Linked DNA regions of Canis lupus familiaris. The protein of the gene in region 1 interacts with the protein of each later gene in a pairwise test. Links are inferred from orthologs where the notes say so. Each region holds a gene or a part of one and is shown in the gene's direction. Other genes may lie near its edges.

The links.
Region 2: the proteins of SIAH1 (region 1) and PEG10 interact in binary tests that used the Homo sapiens proteins (3 or more experiments, as listed by UniProt). The link is inferred for Canis lupus familiaris from reciprocal best matches to the Homo sapiens genes SIAH1 and PEG10.

Annotation. Positions count from the first base shown.
Region 1 is NC_049223.1:65,986,833-65,990,585, forward strand, and holds the start of SIAH1 (E3 ubiquitin-protein ligase SIAH1), read left to right. Parts: upstream 1-1,006; 5' UTR 1,007-1,503; coding exon 1,504-1,594; intron 1,595-3,753. UniProt on the Homo sapiens protein: E3 ubiquitin-protein ligase that mediates ubiquitination and subsequent proteasomal degradation of target proteins.
Region 2 is NC_049235.1:20,084,157-20,087,809, forward strand, and holds part of PEG10 (retrotransposon-derived protein PEG10), read left to right. Parts: intron 1-3,287; 5' UTR 3,288-3,408; coding exon 3,409-3,653.

The DNA of each region.
Region 1 (3,753 bases):
TGAAAATGTAGGTAATAATAATTTATATTTGTCAGTGAGCAGACTTTATCTAACTTCATCCATATTTCTATTCCCAATGATGTTTCATGTAGCCTAATATTAACGTGAGGTTGAAATGACTGAATACAATAGGGTCTGGAAGTGATTGGAACTAAAATTTGATTTGGAAAATGGGTAATCTACAATTTACTGCACAGGGTTCATTCCCACCATGAGCTCCTGCTGTGCGTTTAAAGGCTGCCCTATAAGCATGATATAATGACAGGTTAAACCCCTGAGTGTACCACCTGACGCAGGGCAAATCTGAGGCCCAGGACTTTATTGGGGCCCGTGTAATGCTTCTTTAAAAACACAAGCTTCTCTGTTTAATGAGGCCATTTAAGATGGTTTTCCCAGACTGGGAAGAGAATATAATCTCAGTTTGGAGGTTGAAGGAGTTTAATAGAGTTACGGGTGTTTACTACTCTCACTGCAATCTATTCGAAGGAAGAGAAGGAGTTTCAAGTATGATGTCACCAGGGATAGAAGTGGAGGAGTGAGTTAGAATTGAGGAAATCGGGTCGTTGACGCCCAGTATATAGTGAACGAAGTGGGGAGAGTGCTTTTACTCTATGAGCACAGTTCACACATGGTTAACCAGGAGAAGAGCACTTTTCTGGCCACGTAATTCTCATATACTCTATGTAGGTCTTAGGTTGAAATCATACAGAATTGGCAGCATCTGTTTTCTACAGAAAGACATGTTTCGAACTAAATGTAAGCTTGTGGAAATGGGTGAGGTTGCAGTGTTGCCTGGGGTCGAGGGCAGGGTCTGGGTTGTGCGGGGCAGCGCCCCAGCGGCCCTGGGCTGGGGGGCGGGGCTTGCGGGCGTGACCACCGCGCCGGCCCCGCCCCGCCCCGCCCTGTCCGGCCCCGCAGGCCCCGCCGGCCCCGCCCCGCGCTCGCTGCGGCTGGGCTGGGCTGGGCTGGGCTGGGCGCTGCGAGCGGAGGCCGGCGGGCGCTGCGGGCTGGAGCAGGCTCCCCCAGCACCGCCAGGCCCAGCCCTGGGCCCCGCGTGGCTCTCCGGCGGGCCGGACCCTGCGGCAGCTCCGAGCTGGCTCCGGGGTGCGCCTGACCAGCCCCCGCGCACCCTGCAGCCCCATCCTTCACCCACGCTGGCGGGCTAGTGAATGTGGGGAAGACAAACTTCCAGGGCAGGCGGTTGAGGGCCCAGCGGAGGACAGCTCCGGTGATGGCGCCCATTTTTGGAAACGCAGGCGAATTGGAGCTCGCGGGGAGGTGTGGTGGACTCCTGAGGGGACGGGAGAGGCTTCGTTCCTCTGCTGCTGCGGCAGCCGGTGCTTCGGAGGAGTGAATGGGGGATCCTAGAGCAGGGCGCTTACCTTCGCTGCTTGAAGACTTGAACTCCGACGTGCTTAGGAGCAGAACGTGTCCATCCAGCAGGGCCTCTGTTACAAATCGTGTTTGCTCCTGGGGGAAGGGCTATGAGCCGCCTGACTTCTCATGACCGGGAAGTCTCCCTTACCTTTTCCGTACTCCTGGAGGGGCGTCTTGCTCACATGTCTGCCAGCAGCTGGGACAAGGAAGAGAAAAGGTATTGACACCAAGAGACTGGGATGCTTAAAGTATGAACCGGGAAAAGTTGTGAGCTGGGGGAATCGGGATCAGGGAGTGGCTGCAATGTAATTGAGCTCTAGTTTGCATTGCTGTTTCTTTTGATCTACTGTACTTTTCTCTGTTTAAACCAAGCTTCAGGTTACGTCATCACTCCTGCAGGGTTGTCTGAAGACACTTGAGTCCGTGGTTCCTACTGCAGGGCTGCTCTGTGGTTGGGGTTCTTTTTGTTTGAAGATGGAGCTGGGTTCCACCTTTGGTGCTTTGGGAGGTTTTAGCACCTTCTGTCCTGTAATACCTCCATTCGCAAGAAATACCGGCCTCATTTCACTTGTTTTCACTCTTTAGAGATTTAAACTGTTTTTTTGTTTTTTGTTTTTTGTTTTTTTTACAATGTTTGCAAAAGTAATAAAGATAATATTGGAATGTAAGCCTGAATGATTGATGATTATGTATAGTTATTTGCTCGGTCTGGAAATGAAACGATAGTATTTTTCTTGCTTATATTTTCCTAGTTCTATTATTTTGAATACAAGCCGAGTTTACTGTTCCTTGATGTGATTAGCTTGTTTGGTTTAGTAATTTGAAAAGGCATCAGTGGTTTAGACTGTTTTGTGTGCAGGGAGCCACTTTCCAATTCTAACATTGCTCACATAAGTGAGCAGTATAAAATGGACCACGAGACAGGCATACAGCATATACGTGGGGCATTTTGGCAAGGCTGAGCCCGTTGTTTCCAAGTGGTAGAAAATGCATGGATCATCGTACTCACAAAGAATCAAACACCTGGGTTGTACAGTGTTTCAGGTGATGAGAATTGATTCCCGTTGTCCCTTAAGTCCATGTGACAAGCCACCTTATGGTGGAATTCTGTACTTTTGTAGACTCTTGAATTGTAGAATATTAACTTTAGTTGACAGTGGACTATTTTTTTTGTCACCTTCAACCCTCACTTGGTGTCTATCCTTGAGTAATCTAGAAGTCCAGTTGCTTTTATATAGTCACATGGGTAACCAGCGTTGTTTTCTTAAAGTCAGGTTCTTTGCAGCAATAATGATTACATTGAGGAAGCATTAAATTTGAGGCATTCAGTTTTAGTTTTGTTAGAAATATGGTTTGTATAGTTGTTGGGAATACAGTCTTGGGACATCAGTAGACTGATCTTTTGTTATCCCTGAGACAAATATGGCCTGTCATATCCTAACAAAGTAGATTCCTGGGAAAGGTATTTATTTGCTTTATCTTTCATTTAGCCTGACAAACTAGTTACATTGTTGTCGTTTCTTCCAGATGACATTTATCTCAAATAATATTTATTCCTGTGCTGATGAATGCTTCAGCAACACTAGTGAACCCTAGGATACAAGGAATTCTTAACCTGTTTACTGTCCCCAATGTTGCATGTGTCTCTGGTGTTTTAATCTTTATTCTTTAATTACTTCTTTTCTTCCCCTTTTCAAATTATATGTAATTTTATTGTGCAATGGAAATAGAGTAGAAAGATGTACTTTCTCTGAGTACCTAAAAACTTTTGAGATTACCCTCCATTTCTCTTCTCTTTCTCCCACCTTTATTATGGGGCCTACTGATCAGTAGGAAGTAAGATTAATTAACACGTAGCTGGTGTTCAGATTCTAGGGGAAGACTTAATAGATGAAGGTGCATGATGGGATGGCAGCAGATCCTTCCCCTGACGACCCCTCCATCCCTAAATCTACAACTGAAGCAGATAACTGTTTGCCATTAGGCGGAGTTAATCAGAGCTGATGTCCTGGGTGATCCTTTGGATTACTTGTGACTGACTCCCTGTCACTGTTTCGAGCTGCCTTAGAATGGAAAAGAAATGGACTGAGCAGGGCAATTGAACACCGAGGGAGAGGGGAAAGTTCAGTGAAAACAGCTTTGGTTGAACTTAAGCTACTTAACACAGGGTTTCTTAGTTGTTTACAGTCTGGTTTCTGTTTCAGCATTTATTCCATATTGTATAATTCATCCAAAGGGATTTTTTAATATTTTTTTAAGAAAGGGAATTCTACATGTGTTTTGGGACATTTTGATAAAAGAGATTTTATCTGGTCCACAACTCCTATAATACTCAAAATGCATAATTCGTGTAATTTGTGTTTTTTTTTTTTTTTA
Region 2 (3,653 bases), on another chromosome or scaffold:
TAATGTAACATAAAGTGGTTACATTAAAAAATAGATTGGAGGGTTTTAGCTGGCATTATAAAACATACACATAAAACATCTGATGCCTTACCTCCAGTCAGATGTACCATGTTTATGTTTCTAATAAAATGAAGAAATTTTAAAACCTGGTTTCATATATTGTAAGCCATAAGCCAGGACTCTGACTCCCAAATATCTGTCACCCACCCCCTAATAAATATGCAATTTACATATCTTTATGTATTTATACTTGTGGTAATTACAGCTTTCAGTTAATCCCCAGCCCCCCCCCCCCCCCCCCCCCCCCGTCACCCTACCCCCACTTCCTTTCGAAATTCTATGTTTTTTTTAAAGTTCAAAACAATGGTAAAAATATGCATATTAATATAATTTGCATTTCACAAATAGTATACATGGTACTAAAAAAGAAATTGGGACATTTGAAAATATAAAGCAATTAAGAGTTGCTTAATGAAGTGTCATTTTCTAATGAGATGTTTAATGTGCAGTGTTTTTTGGCTACTGTTACTTTTTGGTGTGTTTGGGGAACAAGTTTTTAGAAGTCTTCAAGAAGAGTCAAAGGTCAATCAAATGTATTTAATTCCTATATAGACTAACACTGGATTCTTTTTCATGTGTAAAGGTGACATCTATCCCATGTGACTTGGCTCAGTACTGTGTGTCATTTCAGGTTTTAGGAATGGGGCCTTTGGGCCTGACCTCCACAATCCAGCCCCTAGTAAGGGGTGGGAGGTGCAAATCAAGTCACAGTGCTCCTGTTCCCAAATTAACTGGTGCTCTAGTTGCTATTTAAATATCTTTAAGCTTTATTTACATTGAATGTTAACCTGCCTGCCGACTATCCTATGTTTTTTAAAGGTTACACTACTCTTCTCTGGGCAGTTATCTCCTTTAGGATTTAGAATCCCACACCAAAATTAAAAATCCCAGGGGTGGGTACCTGATGCCTGATCTTGGTAAAGGTCAGGGGTCTCACACTGGTGACCTTGCAAGTCAAATAAGGCCCTTAATTTATTTGACCAGCACTGGATTAAAAATATTTTAAAGAATTGAATGTTTCTGGGGAGGGGACATGCATCCCTAAATTACATAGTCACCAGCCCACTCCTTATTGTCTTAACTCCAGTTTCTTCTCACTTTTATGTTACCTTCCTGTCTACTAAAATCATTTGCATTTTAAGCCCTTATTGATCTTTTGATTCCTTAAACAATATACAATGATTGTTTGCTGATTTCTGAATGTGTTGTTATATCTGTCCTATTATTATGTTTTGCAGATATTAAAACCATGAGACTGGAACCTCAGTAAAGCTCCCCCCAATGACTGTGATTGACATGTGGGTTGTTAACCTTCCTGACCTGGGTCAGGCAACGCCAGGCCGAGCTATGAAGGCCTTTCCAGAAGTTTTCTAAGTTTTCTAAGTATTAATGTCTAGATACAGAAGTGGCACTTGAGTCACCTGACTTGTGTTTATTGTTTTTTAATGGGACATTAAAGCTTTTAATTTAAAAAAATAAAGATTTTAATTTAATAAATCAAAATCACACTATTTTGTGACTAATCCAGGGCCTCATTTTTTTTTCTTGTACCCTATTGATTGAAATATTAGCTATTTTTCACATAACTTCTTTGAATAACACATTTATCTTTGTGGGCTTTAATTAATATAATTAATTTAGTGTCCATTATTGCCTTGATGGGTCAGAGAAGAACAGGTGACCAGGAATGCCAAGTTAAAATTTAGTGAATGGGCAGTCTGCCTGCTTTTACAAATTATGGTTTTAAACTTTTGAGCGCTTTCCTAAAGTTTTCCAAATATGAGAACTTAATGCTCATTTAAAAATTATAAAAAGTTAAAATTAAGTTACTATAAATGCATTTAACCCTCATTTTAGGAAGTACATAAACACTGCTGGATTTATTGTATGTGTGATTTATTGTCACCATACCCATAATTAAGACCTTAATCCCCCAAACCCCCAATGCCCCCCATGTTGCTACTCACCACCTAGGAGTACAGCCCTATCCTGCTCTAAATTATAAACTTTTGGGTGGGACTGTGCTGACAAATCTTGTTTAAAAACCAGAAGTTGGAAACTGGTGACCTGCAAATCAAATGAGGCCCTGGATTTGTTTGGCCAACAGCGTATTCCCCCCTCCCCCCCCCCCCAAAAAAAGTAATGTCTTTAGGTGGGAAATGCCTGCCTAGGTTGCCATAGTTGCAGGCCCTCCCTGTTTTAATCTTAGCCTCTTTACACAGAAAGTTACCTTTCTTATTAATATCAGCTAACAGTTGTTAAGTATTCACTGCTTTACCTGCATTACCTAATTAAATCCATACTGTAAATTTGAGGTATTCTCTTTTTGGGCTTTTTTGACTGTCCCATTTAATAGCCTAGCTCTTCCTAGGAGGCATCAATTAACATTTGTTGATGAACTGCATAATAAGGAGAGAGGCTGATACACAACGTTGCTGCTCGGTGCCACTTCTGTCCCGAAGGGAATTCTCTCTGGGAAATCAGATTATGTTGGATTTAGACAATCTTGTGGGTTTCGTGACCGTTGTTGTTGTTGTTGTTGTTTGTTTTGATAATCAGTTAGTGACCTTCACCATGGAGGTAGTGCCCTCTTCCCTCCCCCGGCTGATGAATACAGGCAGTGTGATTTAAATCCCCCACCCTTCTTTTTGGTTCCCTATTGGCTGGATTATTAGCTCTTTTTCAGGTAACCCGTCTAATAACAATTATCATTTTGGCTTTGTGTTTTTAATTTGGTCTCCATCTTTGACTTGAAAGTTTCTTGCTGTGCCCTCCTGATCCAAACTGGTATTTTGGAATGTCTCCGCATTCTTTTACGGTCAGTGAAGGTAAACTTGCTGTTGATACCGGTATGCATTGTTGTTGAATCATAATAGGTGACATTTGATGAGGAAAAAGGTCATTTGGACGTTAAAAAGTAGGGTGCTTTTTGTTACTACCTATTGTCTTAATTGATTATTAACTTGTTTCTCCCTTTTGCAAGATCTGTGTTTGTTTATTAAATATTAATGTAAGCAAGTAGAGCAAAGAGATACTTTAAATACTCATGTATTTAAAGTATTTTAGTGGATACTTTAAATACTCATGTATTTAAAGTATTTTAATGGCTACTTTAAATACTCACGTATTTAAGGTACTTTAGTGGCTACTTTAGATGCTAAAATCTTTTTTGTAGTGTGCTGCTTTGAACGTGGATGATAAACTTCTGCTTTTATCTTCCTTTACAGAAACAAAAAGCTTTTGAAAACAAAACGAAGAAAGGGTGGAAGAGGAGGCCAGGATCAGGGCCTCCATCCCCACAGGAGCGAAGCTACACCTGGGAGGTCTCCTCCCACGCCAACCCTCACCCTGGGGCCCGACTGCCCACCTCCTCCTCCTCCTCCTCCCCCCAACGGCCCCTCCTCCTCCTCTTCCTCCTGCTCCTCCTCCTCTTCCTCTTCTTCATCCTCACGCAGCGCCCCAAGGGGCCAGTACATCCCCAACCTGGCCGAACGAAGGCGAGACGATCTCTCTGAAGAGATCAACAACCTCCGAGAGAAGGTCATGAAGCAGTCCGAGGAGAACAACAACCTGCAGAACCAGGTGCAGAAGCT